Linked DNA regions of Schizosaccharomyces pombe. The protein of the gene in region 2 interacts with the protein of the main gene of each other region in a biochemical or structural test. Each region holds a gene or a part of one and is shown on either strand. Other genes may lie near its edges.

Region 1 (7,513 bases), 5.0 Mb from region 2:
TAGCTTCACTTGATGATTATGGACGAGCTTAACACCTAAACACTACGCTCTTCCTACTTTCAGATACAAAAAGTAATTTTCGTCCGGAAAAGATAATATATTTTATTAATCTCATAGATTTTACGAAATTTACTAAAAATGCTAGGACAAGGCTTGATTTTTATCAGTTTAGCCTTTGTTGCTCATGCATTAGAAATTCCTATTTCTTGCGCTGTATCACATAATGAGCAAACAGAAATATTTCCACATGGTACTATTGATATCCCAGAAATGACATTTCGTCCTTCGGACTCACAAATTGATTGGAGTAATCTTTCTCACTCTGATTTTGTACAATGTGGAGTATACGAAGATTCTACCAACACATGGCTTGCAGGCGCCAGCAAATACAAAATTGATGAAATAAAAACCCTTCCAAAAGTACCTAGAGACCACTATATCATACTTTGTGATTCATCAGAAAGCAATGAGATTGCAAAATTTACTCAAGTGGTCCACTCATTTGATTTTTCATCCGACTCAGAAAGTGCTGTAGTCGAGCAATTGCATCCTTCTTCTCCAATTCCAATTTTAACTACTGCTGTCAGAAAAAAGGGATCACGTCCATCTAAACCCCAGAAGGAAAAACAAGGAAATAAACAGGGTTCTAAAACCGAAGAATCTCCAAATGTGGACGAAGATGAATTAGAGTCCGAACCTGAGGAAAAGACATTTTTCCAAAAATATGGTTTATATCTCATCCCGATATTGTTTCTGATAATTATGTCTGGTAACAATGCAAATCAACAGGCAGCAAATACGGCGAAATAAACGAGTCATTATATATATGCCTTAAAACAATTGCGTCTCGGCTACGATAATTTTTTGATTATTGCTACTACTTACTGTGCTCTTTACAAATATTCTAATTCATCTATTTCCATTCAATAATACTGCTATGTGCCAGATGTACGATACTTAATAGTACTTTAAAATCTATACAAACATTTGTAATGAAATATCGTATAGGAAAGGTTAAAATAAAAAAGAAGGAAGTTTCTACGTGCACATAACTAATTTAGTCTTTAACAATTATTCCATTCCAACATAAACAAGATTCATTAATAACTAGATATAAACATTCATTACACGCATGAGATAAAATCAATTTTTAACAACAATAAGGAAGGAATTACACATGATTACCGGAGAGTGTGGTTAAGTATTTTTAACATAACCTTCGCGTCAGATAATGTAAAAAATGAGGAATTACACAATCTCACATAAATAGAACATAGTGTGTACAAACACAGAAAATTAAAGAACAGTCGTTTCGTTAAGTCATCAAGGGCTTGGAAGCCTGGTTAACGCCGCTATTTAAATAATCCACGACGTCGTAGAGAAATTTGAATTGCTCAAAGTTTTGAACCATTTTCATCCGTTGTGATCTCAACGAGTTAACACAATTGAATATGAAATCTTTTGAATCTTCCAAATTGGTCGTCTTGGGTAAAATGTTTTTTGGTACCTGAAGTATTTGGTCTACAGCAATAAAAGTACCAGTGCGTCCTACGCCTGCTGAACAGTGAACGAACATTGGTCCATCATTGGGAACCTTATCAATACAACGTATGATTCCCGTGATGCTTTCAATATCTGGATGGGTTTTGTCAAACCACGTGTGCACCCAAAAGTGATGTATATACTTTGGAGGACCATTAGGTTTATCCAATCGAAACAAATGAGTGTTGACCTTCAAATCTTCAAAGGTTTCATATTTTTGAACAGATATGCGTAATCCGCCTTCCAAGCATAATGCGTGATCTTTGTTATCTGGCCAATATTGAGAACATTTCTCACTTCCCGCCTCATACAGATTTGTGAGCATTACGATAACACCATTTGTTCCTGAGTTATGCCAAACCATTTCCCAAAAGTCTAAAAGAGTTCCCGGCTTAGGGGCCTGGCAGGCAATATATTTTTTATTTCCAACGTCTATATGTGAAGCATTAATATAATCAGAACATCCTTTTGGAACGGCTAGACGGACTCTTGTTTTATCGTAGGGCACGATATCTGTGTAACGATTTTTTCTTGAAATGGAAGTGGAGCGGCTGGAAGCTAAACAGCACCAATCAGATTTACTGTCATTAAACGCTAGGGATCTAGTCATTTCCATTTCCTCAAGTCTTTTAAACTTATAAAAAATAGAAGCAGTATTTAAATCCGCAAGCACCTCACAAGGAGGAGGAGAAACCTTTTTGGCACCCCAGGGATTACAAGTAAAGGGTCCTTTGTTTTCCTTGGAGAAAATGCTTCCCTTGGTCTCTTTATTAAAGCACGGTTTGTTAGCTCTTCTTAGACCGCCTGGTTTTGGAGCATCTCGTGTGTTTGATAAACCAACAGATGGTTTAAGTTTGCTTGTCATCGTACTAGTACCATCATTCTGTGCATTGCTATCACGTTTCATTGACTTCCGTGGAATAATTTCCAAGGAAGCTTGAGACAAACTTGGATTGACGACGTTGCTGGATTTAACATAGTTGCTAAAGCTACGAACGCGAGAAGCAGAAGGCCGTCTCTGATTATTCGAGGAGGGATAAGAAGGCACCGATCGTAGAGATGGCCTGGCAGGAGTTTGCTGAGGGGCATTGCCTACGATAAAAAAGTTTTTCTGTTCATCAGGCGTACTAGGACAAGAAGATGCGCAAGAAATGGCGGGAGAGATTGGAAAATATGGCATTTCAGCTTGAAAAGCTGAATTTGGGGGAGAGAGGGGTGAACCATATATAGATTGGCACGAACGAACAGAAGAAGCAGTAGGAGAGTGAATCGAAAACGGTGTTAAACCTGAAAATCCAGGGTATTCCGCATGACTCGCGAACTCACTAAAGGTATCGGAGACTACCGAAGGTGTGCATAAAGGTGGTGGGATGTTAATAGGAACTCTCAATGGAAAGCTATAATCTGGTGAAATAGGGGTAGAAACCGCAGATGGATCGGATAAATGAAGGATATCCAGCTTGCAATTCTCATTGATGTCAATTTTGTATGGGACCGACTCCTTGACCATTTCGGTAGAGACAATGGCGTCCGGATGAGAGGAAGCAAAGGCTTCAAATCCATTGCTTAATAAATAAATTTTTTTGGAATATCCACCACGTCGAAACTTCTGTACCAAATCATAAATACGGTTCATGCCAGCCATGCTAGAGTCGTATAGGAATATGGCATTAATTTCATCCAACGAGACTTTTACGTTGCATTTTATACAGGCGAAAACCTTTCCAATGTCAAAAGACGGACGACGTAACAACGCAGTTGGAAGAGAAACGTTGATGGCATTTTTTATATGGCTAACAGCATATTTGGAGTGCAGGCGCAAATCAATAATCCAAGAAACGCTCTCGGTTTGTTCTTCAAAAGACTTAAGAGTAGAGTTAAATTCGTCTTTAGACAGAAGATGGAGCATAGTAGCACAAAATTTTTGAAAACACCTTGGAAGATGTTATATCCTAAGTAAAAGGGACAGAGACAAGATTGGCCAAGCTAAAATATATATACAGGAAACTTTTAAAATGGCACACAAATTAAAACGAAAAAAAAGATAGCAGGCGAGTGTGAAGAGGTGTGCGGGTTAAGAGAAATTTTTTGAGTTATTTACAGTGTGCTTTCGGAAAAAAAGAATATAAACAAAATGGAAACGTAAGAGAGAAGAAACTGTATAAAAATAACAATTATTGACTTTTTGCGAGTTCAATCAAGGAGTCAAAAATATAAGACAAAGAAACTCCTGGGCGACGTGAACAAGGATGAATGAGGAAACTTGTTGATTGAAAGAGACGAAATCAAACAAGCAAATAAATAAATTTTTAATAAACAGAAAATAAACAAAATTAAAAGTTTTGTATTCTTGGATGATGGTGGTTAATTTTTTTGTGATGAAAAGGAAAAACTGCAACTCGATTTTCCCTTTGTATTGCCTATTGATGTTGAACAGAGAAAAGCTCCTTTTTGTCAAATAAATAGAAGTCCGCGAAGTGGCGCTGGGATATAAAATGCAAAAAAGATAGATGAGTGAATATATATGAATAAATAAATAAACAACTAGTAAATGAGTCAAATAGGTGAAATCTTCACGTAATATACACAAGATGGGTAAAGTTGAAGTAACTTTAACACGTAACAAAAATTTTCTTCTACGAAGAATAGGGCTTCCATGCGATCCCTAAATCTCGTACACTTAAAATTGGTACAACTTGGTTTTTCCTACATTTCACCACCAGGCCCTCATATATATATATATATATTTTACATGTAAGAAGGATGTAGATCGATTTACGTCTGATCCTCGGTTTTGGCACCAGGCACTGGGCAGTGAGACCAGGTAACATACAATGTAATATTATGTAGTCATGACGTGTCAAGATCGTAGACGAGGAAAAATTTTAGGCAACAAAAACAACGGCTAAAAGGAGATTGAAATGAGCTAAACCAAGGAATTTTTTGAAGCTGAAAAATGAGTTCTTTTAGTTTATAAAGTTGATGATGATTTTTTTCTTTAATTCCTCGAAAACAAAGTTCGGGTACTAATGTACCTAATTTCACGGTCACGTCATTCTCTGCTACCTAAAGGGGTTTCCCCATACTTTTCTGCTAAGCGACCGTTTATTCTAAGATATAACGAGAGGTAAGATGGCAATACGGTGTACTATTTAACGAAATATTGCATAATGTGACGAGTGACGCTTAGAGCACAGTAAGACCGGATCTAGTGAAGCCGAATGCATGGAAGAAGCCCTCTCTTGGGCCACAGCAAAATAAAGGGCCGCAGCGAACCAAGGCTAACTCGTAATTAACACTAGTTGTACTGTGTAGCACTATGCAGGATTAAAGAGACTTTGCAAAGCCGGGAGATTGTCTTAATGTGGACTATACGTACGTTACTAGAAAATTGAGTCGCTATGGCATGCGCTATTGTGAAAAGTGGAGAGGGGGGCAGGGAAGTGAATGACTCGGTGGTACTTTACGTACTCTCATGTACTGCGTGTTTCTAATCGTCAGGTGAATCCAAATAATCCCCTTGTTTTGTTCACATCAATAATATGTCTTAATTATCTTCTTCTGCCTGCTTCCCCAGATTCTCTTCTGTACCCCATCTTTTAACATTTTCTCATGCCAATTTGAACAAGATAGACATGTGAAGAGCGAAAAAAATTTATTTACACATTCGGTAATCAAAAGTGGGGACTTGTTATCCTTTGAAGAATCCTTACAGAATGTGGATTTTCTTTTGTTTTGCCACTACGCAAAAGAAACATTTTCTTTCTTCTTTTTTTGGCAAGCGAGAAAAGGGTTGATCGGGACTGACATTGGTAAACACTGCAATACATTACATGTCGGGAACCTTTTTTTTTTGTCTTGGCTTTCTCTAATCTTTGTTTGCAAAACGGTCAACAACTAACACCGTGTTGCCAGATGACATTTTCTATAGTTCACTACTTCATGGGTGAAGAAGTGCTCTTTTTCAACGGTGCTCTGTAGAGGCTTTTATTTGGTAGCTGCAGCAAGCTTCCCATGCTCTCTTGGTAACAAAATAATTACAGATGAAATGAACCAAAGAAAAAATTCGAAATATGTCAGCAATCCTAAGCTAAGTTAAGGTGCACTGCGTTAAAAATCATTATGCGTCATGTGATGGAAACTACTTAAAGATTTATTAATTGATAATTATGAAAGAAGTAGCATTCGAGAAAATTTAGGATTCTTCTGATATTTAAATTCTACATTAAAAATCGTAAGTAGAGTTCATCTAAACTTAGGAACGAGGTTCATACATAAGCAATTTCAATGATAAGTCACAATATCATTTATATATACAAGAATATCAATAGCAGTGTTACTCAGATTACCTCTATACCACAATATAGCAGGTTTCAAGTAAAACTTACTGTAATTGAACGTATCTTCAGAATAGTGAATTACTTAATCGTAAATAATGTAACAGTGAGTAATCGAAACAAAATAAAATAATACGCTATAACGATTGAATGTCTATATCACTTATTGTCAGCAATACTACACTACGCTATAATACACTACGTTGAGTATCACTATATGTCACATGTTCTAATTATATATCGTACCATGTATGATACGATATGGAGATTGATCTTAATGATAATCTATTAAGATCAATATTATCTGAATACTATAAATAGAGCTACTGCTGAACCTCGTTCCTCAGTTCAGTTATGAGCTATATTAGTGATAGGTAACATTATAACCCAGTTAATACAATACCTATACTCAGTTGCTACTTATACAACCTGTGTATTGTAATATAATAGATCACAAGGAAAACTCACCGCAGTTCTACGTATCCTTAAATCAGATACCAAACTGCGTAGCTTACAATAACTGAACTCTTGTGATCTACAATTAACTCCTTTTAGGAAAAAGGAATTATTGAATAAATATATATCATAAATATATATATTTCTCTCCTTCTGGGTTCAAAGGAGAAGGAACTTTGGAAGGACTGTTATCCCTTTTGAAATCTCCCAAAGGGAAACATATACAATGTCCTACGCAAATTATCGTTATATGAAAGCAAGAGCAAAACGATGGAGACCAGAGAATTTGGATGGAATTCAAACATCAGACGAACATTTAATAAACCTTTTTGCAAAAATATTATCGAAGCATGTACCAGAGATAGGGAAATTCGATCCAAATAAGGATGTTGAAAGTTACATTTCAAAACTTGATCAACACTTTACTGAATACCCTTCATTATTCCCAAATGAGCATACTAAAAGACAGTATACATTGAATCACCTAGAAGAATTAGAGCAACAATTCGCTGAACGCATGTTTTCTGAGAATGGAAGTCTTACATGGCAAGAATTACTCAGACAAACAGGGAAAGTACAAGGATCCAACAAAGGTGATCGTTTAACTAAAACATTTGAAGGTTTTAGAAATCAATTGGACAAAGTTCAATTTATAAGGAAACTCATGTCAAAAGCAAATGTTGATGATTTCCATACTCGCTTGTTTATATTATGGATGCTGCCATATTCCTTAAGGAAATTAAAGGAAAGAAATTACTGGAAATCAGAAATCAGTGAAATTTATGACTTTTTAGAGGACAAAAGAACAGCCTCGTATGGTAAAACTCACAAGCGTTTTCAACCGCAAAATAAAAATCTAGGAAAAGAGTCCCTTTCAAAGAAAAATAACACCACTAATAGCAGAAACCTGAGGAAGACAAATGTTTCGAGAATAGAATACTCATCTAACAAATTCCTAAATCATACTAGGAAACGTTACGAAATGGTATTACAAGCTGAACTTCCAGACTTCAAGTGCTCAATACCCTGTCTAATCGATACGGGCGCTCAAGCAAATATTATAACAGAAGAAACTGTTCGAGCACATAAACTGCCTACCAGACCCTGGTCAAAAAGTGTGATATATGGTGGAGTTTATCCAAATAAGATTAATCGCAAAACAATAAAACTTAACATAA
Region 2 (7,765 bases):
AATTTGAATACTTAAGCACGATTTTTACGATTTTTTTTACATTTATTAGCGTCGATAAATCGTAAAATTTTGGAAGAAGGAATTCAAACGATCCAGTTTTCCCATATCTTTTCTGTTTATCAAGTGGTGATTGATTTGTTTGTTTACATCAATTGCCCTGTCCAAATCACACTTTTTACAATTCATACGTTTTTCTCGACTTTTTTAAAATTGTTACCGTTTTCTTCTCTTCTTTTTATTTTTGTACGTCTTTGAATACTAATTCACGATTCGTTATTTCCCGATCATACTAGTTTGTTTCGATCCATTAACCCGAGGTAAACATCTGTAATTATCTTATCAATCTTCGAATACCTCCTTTCTTTTTATCGTGATACTGGCTATTGATCGTTTATTCACAGGACATTAACCACAAATATCCGGGTTGAGTCGTTAATTGCTTTAAAAAGTCTCATTTCTTAAGTTTTTCAACTTAATTTTATTTTATTTTATTTTTTTGTTTTTAGGATTTTAATACTCCTTCTGCTATTTGTTTTTGTGTGCGTCCATTGATCGTTTGTTCTCCTACGCTATTAGATATACACCTCTCTTTGTTGACGTTTCTCTTTTTTTCTCTATTCAAATTTTTTACTCCATCTGACCGTTCTTTTTTTTAACAACCATTATGACTGTTGAGCAGAAGATTATTTTTTTCGATTTGGATAACTGTTTGTATCCTAAATCTTACAAAATCCATAACATGATGGCTGCTCGTATTACTGCATTTTTCTCTGATAAGCTTGGCATACCTACAGAGGAGGCAGAACGCCTTCGTGAAGTTTACTATCGGCATTACGGTATAGCAATTCGTGGTCTTGTTCTCCATCATGAAATTGATGCTGTGGATTATGATCAGCGTGTCGATCAGTCTCTTCCCTTAGAGAAGGTTATAAAGAAAGACGAAGTTTTGCGTGAGATGCTTTTAGAACTTCGTAAAAAGTACAAGTGCTGGATTTTTACGAATGCATATATCGTTCATGCTAATCGTGTCCTTAAATATCTTGGTATTGAGGATTGCTTTGACGGTATAACGTACTGCGACTACAATGCCAAGGATTTGATCGCTAAACCCATGCCTGAAATGTATGAGCGTGTAATGAGAGAAGCAGGCGTTACTGACAAGGATAAATGTATATTTGTCGATGACTCATATGGTAACATTTTGGGTGCTCGGGAGTTTGGTTGGAAATACACTGTTCAATTAGTAGAACATGGTGATCCACTTCCCCAACCTCAAGCAGGATCGCATGTTATTCGTGATATTCACAAATTCAAACACTTGCTAGATGAAATTGATGGCGAATAGTCATCCAGCTTTTCTATATCAGGCTTCGACTTTTGAAATTGAACGTGCATTTTTAATCAACATCTTCTTCATTTTTTAATCCCCTTTTTCATAGAACGGGAGATTTGTTGTCACTGTCAATCTCCTTTTTGTATTTATGTTGCTTCAAGCACGTCTGTTTTGAGCCCAATTTCTCTTTTAACGTTTTAGCCTCTCCTTTCTCCATCACCTCTAACTAGTTTTAATTGGAAAAATTATTTGTTCTTCCTTTTAATTATTTTTACGATACTGTTTATTCATAGCTCTTTTTTTGATTATGAAGATACACTTCGCATTTGCTAAGTTTTTATGTTTTATGAAGTAATTCCTAGATGACTATGATTTTTTTTAACGTTTTTAAGATTTTTATTTAACTTCATGTACACAAGATGTCCAAAATCTTGTTGTATAAATAATAAAAGTTAAAAATTAATAAATACACTACTTATTATAAAACCCGTAACTACATTAACGAACTTAAAAACTAAATCATACAGATTAGCATTATAAACCTAGATGGGTAACTATTATAATGGCTTTTTTTTTTTTTTTTTTTTTTTTTTTTCTTTCAAAAAGAGAAGTTCGGTGATTTATTCAACTTCTGAATTTGTAGTCAAAACAAGAAGAGGAAGGTATATATGTTCATTACTTGGAAAGAGGAAGTTGGAAATAATTTTCATGGGCCATCGCATTACCATATCCGAAAAAAAAGGATAAAAATTTGAATTTCAAAATATTTTAGAAAAGGAGTGGCGAGAAAAAACACCACACTTGAAAATCGCAATTGTAATTTATAATTAAACGGAGGATTAAAAACCCGATGACCATTAGAATAATAGAAAAGCCTAAAATTCCATGGAACCGAGATGATATAAATATGATACACGTGAACAAAATAGAGTAATCATAACATACCCCGAGAACAACTTTTAAGGCTTTATCTACAACTTGTTTAGGATTGCAGTTCATTATCCATGTTGTGAAACGACAAAACCTCGGAGTACATCATGACCTTCCAAGTCTCCACAGGTAAATCATTATCTTGGAATGACCAGTCAAAAACTTCATCAGCAACAGGCTCATCAGTAGGATCATGGTATGGAGCAAGATAGTTATGAGCCAAAGCATCAGCAGCACTAATACGCTTACGAGGATCAAAGACAAGCATTTTTTCTAACAGATCAATAGCATCTGGATCGGCGTTTTTGAACTTTTCAGCAAAAGGAACTTTCTCCTTTTGAGGCAATGATTGAACAAAGCGAAGTGTGTTTTTACTGCAAATCGTCTCAATTACTTCCATAGGCGGCGTTCCCAACAATTCCGTGATTATAGAAAACTGGTTAACGTGGTCTCGGCCGGGAAACAAGGGTTTTCCTTCAATCATCTCAGCAAAAATACAACCCGCACTCCAAATATCAACTTCGACGTTGTACTTTTGCCAAGTTAACATAATCTCAGGTGCACGGTAATAACGAGTAGAAACATAGCCCGTCATTTGAGGGTCTTGAATACGAGCCAAACCGAAATCGCAGATTTTTAAATCGCAATTTTCGTTAATTAAGATGTTACTGGGTTTCAGATCACGGTGAATAACACCGGCAGAATGAACAAACTTGAGCCCTCGCAAGATTTGGTATAAGAAGTATTGTATAAATTGCGTCTCTAAAGGTCGCGATGTAAGTAGTCTATGAAGATCTGTTCCCAGAAGCTCCGTGACAAAATAAATATCTTCAAAGGGAGAAATAAAAATATCGCTCAAGCTAATAATATTCTCATGCCTTAAATGCTTTAATAGTTTTAATTCCCGATAGGTACGTTTTGCCAGTACCGGAGTACTAAAGGGTTTCATAATTTTCTTAACAGCGACATTCATTCCAGTTAGCTGATCCTTCGCTGAACAAACGAGGCCAAAGGCGCCCATGCCAATCGGCTGTAAGTCGCTATATCTAGTGGTAATTTCAAAACATGTACCGAATATTTGTGTACGAATAAATTCTGCCATTTTATTCAAACTGGTTACAAAAAGGACTATTCAACAATAATCTCAAAAATTTAAGCGTCCTTCGTCTATATCGAAAAGTAACTTTCTCTTCTTTTTACAAGTTCCCAACAACGCTGCGAAGTGCCAAGCTTTATAATAATTACGATAACAATCGTCGGTATCGGACCTCGTATTCCGTTAAACAGATTGTGGTGTTTGCTTGTAATAAGCAATGAAGTGCTCTGGTTAAGTTGTGGTAAGGAGGTATGTAGCTGTGATTAAGTGCACACCGCACTACAGTGAACTTGCGCTTCAGCATCCAGAACCTCAAAGAATGAAGTTCCGCCGGTTTAACGATGTTTTTAAAATGTATTAAACAATTTAAAGTACTACTACTTTTGATAACAACTGACGACGATAAACACCAAAGTGACCACTCCTTCTACTCTTACCAAGGCTTTGTTGTCCAGATCTGAGATGGGTTAGTTGGTAAAGTTGTTAAGCCAGCTTTATTAGATCAACTTTTTTAGCTATTTGAGCTAGTATTCATTATTGAAATGTGTGTTTCAAGGAAAAAGTCTTGTAAGCTAACCCAATTTGTCTTTTGACAACAGTTACTGTTGAAAAACCCGTTCAATTATAGATCTGACATTTCATTTGATCCATAATGCTCGATTTCGTAGTTAATTTGCTTGTTTGCCTCTATTAGCCCAGCGTCCGCGTTTTGATTTCTTAGCGAGTTGTTAATATTATGGTTTCACGATTAGGCATTAATCGGGTCTGTACCTTCCACATTTTGGGACGAAATAACCAAGGATAATTAGGTGCAACAAGTCATTTTCCATTTCAATTTTCCTTTTACTTTATTAAAAAATTTTTAATTAAAAAAGTTTGGACAAATACCATTTAAAGTCTACGAGGAAATAGGACACAATACTACGTTAAATGTATGTTTCAATAAAAAATCAATTCAATAAAAGGACAAAAATTAAAAGAAGGGAAAATCGAAAAAAAAAAGAATGTGATGCCGAAATTACCATACGGCTCAGTGAGCAGATAGACTAAAGATACGTATTATATGGAATTCTTCGCCAAAGATACATGCAAAATGTAATAAAAGTTATATATATACATATATGATAGACTTATACCAAATTGCTTCCATGGCGGAGATAACCAAACGGGGTAAAAACAGAGTACTTTTAAAATATAGACCAGATTAAAAAGAATGAAATTATGCCTTCATAAATTTGATGCAAATGAACCCAATACGATGAGTGCTAACGCGTTATTCTTAGCGCAAATTGTTCGGAAGAAAATAAAAAAACATAACGTGATCCCCAAAAGAATGCTTAATAATGAGTCAGTAGAATTCAAATCAATAAAAGTTTAACACGACAATGCTTTTATAATGATAAAGGAATGAGGAAAACTGTGGCTCCGAAAGAGAGGTCTACGATTTCATGCGAGAAGTTCCACGAGCTAGCGGAAAGCGACGCATCGCATTAGGTATAACCGTCATTGACGATGTCTCAGAAGCCACAGAAGCTCGAGGTTCTACTCCCTTATTGTTGTTCATGAGAGTAAAATACGTTTCGGATTCACCACTGTCATCAGTTTCACCGTTTCGCGATTCCGCAGAATTAGAGTTGGAATTTGGTCTTGACAATACTTCATTTCCAAGTGATTGAGAAGACGAATTAGGATCACTTGGCGTACCAAATCTTGATGACTCAGGTGATATATTCTTGTGCGTATGCTCTTTAGCTTCAGGGGATAACACGTTTTTTCCACCACGAACAGGAGGTGAACCTCGAGGAGCAAAACGCGGATCAAAAGTTCGACCCAAGCCCTCATAATCACTCTTTAAAGACTGTTGCATTTGCATCAAAGAAGGAGAATACAAAGAACGTCTAGAGCGACGAGTTGTAAGAGACAACATATCCATATTGTCAGCAGTCATTGCTCGTCCTTTTGAAAGGGACGGAGCAGAAGGAATTCTGCCCATATTTGGCTTACCATTTTCGGGAACAGAATATGGGTGTAAAGGTGAATGTCGATCAGAAACGAAGGATGATGGATTAATAGGCCGCATATTAACCAAAACTTTGTTTTTCTTAGGTGAATTGTCCGTGGGCCCATGCATATCATTCATGTGATGTGGTTGAACGAGAGGAAGGTGTTGAATACTCGAAATTAATGCACTTATTGTTCGTAAACGAGGAACTTGGAGGGATTGTTTAGTAGCTAAATCAATACAATAATGTAAATACTGTACAATTTCAACAGGGCGGTTTGATCTATATTCTCTAAAAGCCGGATTCACCTGCATATGCGAAAGTAATGTTTCGCGTTGCTTGGAAAGTTTTTTTACATCCAAGGAGGATCCAAGGCAGTTACACAAGCTATCAAGCTCTTGTAATATACCTTGGTGCAAGTCATTGATATCGGGACGTTCTAAGAGCTTGGGCAAATTGGGATTTTGCGTGAGTACAGTTAATGGATAAAGAGAGAGGGGTAAAGCGAGGTCCTCAATTTCCAAGGGAAGCAATGTATCCAATATTTCAGATGAAATTTCTCCACCTTCCAAAATCTCAACCAACCTGGAAAGCTGGTCAATTTCGAGATTGGAACCAGCAGGAGCTAAGTAAAACGGAGCGCAGTCTCCAAAGAAAAATTCATCTACAGAACGTTGAGATACAGGTGTATGAGTAATGAGAGAAAAGATAGGGTTTTCAGGATATTGGCGTTGCAAAGCTTCTTCAACCCCAATGGCACCAGTAGAGTTATAAACAATACACGTATGCTTAGCAGTGATCACCGGTTCTAATATGTTGGACAATTGAAAATTGCGAGAATTAGGTTTGATTGAAACAAATACATAATCGAAAGGCTCAGAATCAGAGGTAACCTCTTCAAGCTTAGATAAACGATACGTCGGACGGTATTTACGAGTTCCGAATTTTTTCGATTGAATAGTGAAGACGTTAGTAGAAGGCTCGGGGGCATTGAAAAACATTATAGTTTCTTGGCATGTCACAACTGAGCTTTGCTGTAACCTCCAACCTAATAAAGTCGTGATGGAAGGGCTACCAACACACAAAATGCTGACACGCTCCTTTTTTCCTGCGTCAGTCATTTCAGTAGCAAATTAAAAATGACTCTTCTTAAAAAAAAATTATATTTACACTTTAAAAAAAAAACTCAATCGTTGGTTTTGGATTTCTTTTTTCGAGTTGAATTCGTTTGTTAAATCTTTAATAAACTCCACGATTCCATGCAGCTCTAATAACGACTATACTAAAACCGTTTTCACACGTAAATCGAAAGCTTTTCTAAAAGTGATTTATCCAAAGCAGCAAATTGTGGTTTGCTATTTTTCGAAACCGTTTCTATAGGATCACACCGTACAAAAGAGCGCTAATTGTAAATGTATGTATTTGGAAAAGGGAAATTGGTTTCCAATGGAAACGATCGGTTTTCCTTGTGGCTTCTAAGACGTATGATTGTCGGTCTCGGGGTTATGCTTATGGTAGAAGAGCGTGTATGGATATGACAACTCATACCATTCCGCTTGGCACGATCTTCCTTGGAGTGCACTAAAAAAAAACTAAAAAAATTTTGATCACTCGTACTACAAATAATACTTATTTTTATTAATACTTTAAGACAATTCAATTCATTTTAATTTCCTTTTTATTTAAAATGCTATAGAATCAAGACAATACTTTAGGTTCGGAAAGCGAATATATCTAATACTATATGTCCTTGTAAAATTGAATACACCAGATAGAAAGATCTTTATCTTTGTATGTTTAATTAGAAAGAAGACGAGTTTAACATTAAAAGAAATGAATTGAGATGTAGGGAAAGAAAGTGCGTGGTTCGTATGCTCTTCAATGTGAATATAGCGAGTGGTTGTTTGCTAAACGAGGCTAAAAGCAATTTGTGATTGATAAGCGAGTCATGAAATATCAAGTGGTATCAATTTGGAATAGTATAGGAAATAGAGTATCTAAAGTTACAAATCAGGCACTTGCCATGGAAACCGATGGTATTTACATTGATCGATAGGACCAAACAGAAGAAAAGAAAAGAACGAAAAACAAAACAAAACAAATTTAGTGCATAAACAATCTGATCAATTTTTCTTTAACTTTTGAACCTCATAATAGCCTCTATCAACAAACGAAGCAAGTGTAACGCAGCCCCCAAGCAAAGCTAAAACATTACTCAAAAATCCACCAAAGGTATTGCCACGTACTTGACGTTCAATAACACGCATAGGACTAATATCAAATTGAAACCATACACCAGGGATTCCGCCATGAAAGTTAACATGGGTAGGGACTTTTTCTTCACGACCGCCACGAATAGAACGTTCATGCTGTGTGACAGCATATTTGTTTGTGTCTATGGGA

Evidence for each region. Proteins that work in one complex are often made in the same cells at the same time.
Region 1: of the proteins of sty1 (region 2) and pyp2, one has a biochemical effect on the other in vitro, tested with the Schizosaccharomyces pombe proteins (3 studies listed by BioGRID).

What each region holds. Positions count from the first base shown.
Region 1 is NC_003424.3:5,198,761-5,206,273, reverse strand, and holds pyp2 (protein tyrosine phosphatase Pyp2), read right to left. Parts: upstream 3,619-7,513; 5' UTR 3,452-3,618; coding exon 1,316-3,451; 3' UTR 1,072-1,315; downstream 1-1,071. Other genes in the region: protein Emc10, read left to right, coding at 139-810; Tf2-8 (retrotransposable element/transposon Tf2-type), read left to right, coding at 6,562-7,513. UniProt on the Schizosaccharomyces pombe protein: Plays a role in inhibiting the onset of mitosis. Dephosphorylates sty1/spc1 and wis1/spc2/sty2.
Region 2 is NC_003424.3:204,549-212,313, forward strand, and holds sty1 (MAP kinase Sty1), read right to left. Parts: upstream 3,589-7,765; 5' UTR 3,366-3,588; coding exon 2,316-3,365; 3' UTR 1,928-2,315; downstream 1-1,927. Other genes in the region: SPOM_SPAC24B11.05 (pyrimidine 5'-nucleotidase), read left to right, coding at 665-1,345; SPOM_SPAC24B11.07C (oxidoreductase), read right to left, coding at 4,798-6,483; COPII-coated vesicle-associated protein Erv46, read right to left, coding at 7,486-7,765. UniProt on the Schizosaccharomyces pombe protein: Proline-directed serine/threonine-protein kinase involved in a signal transduction pathway that is activated by changes in the osmolarity of the extracellular environment. Controls osmotic regulation of transcription of target genes.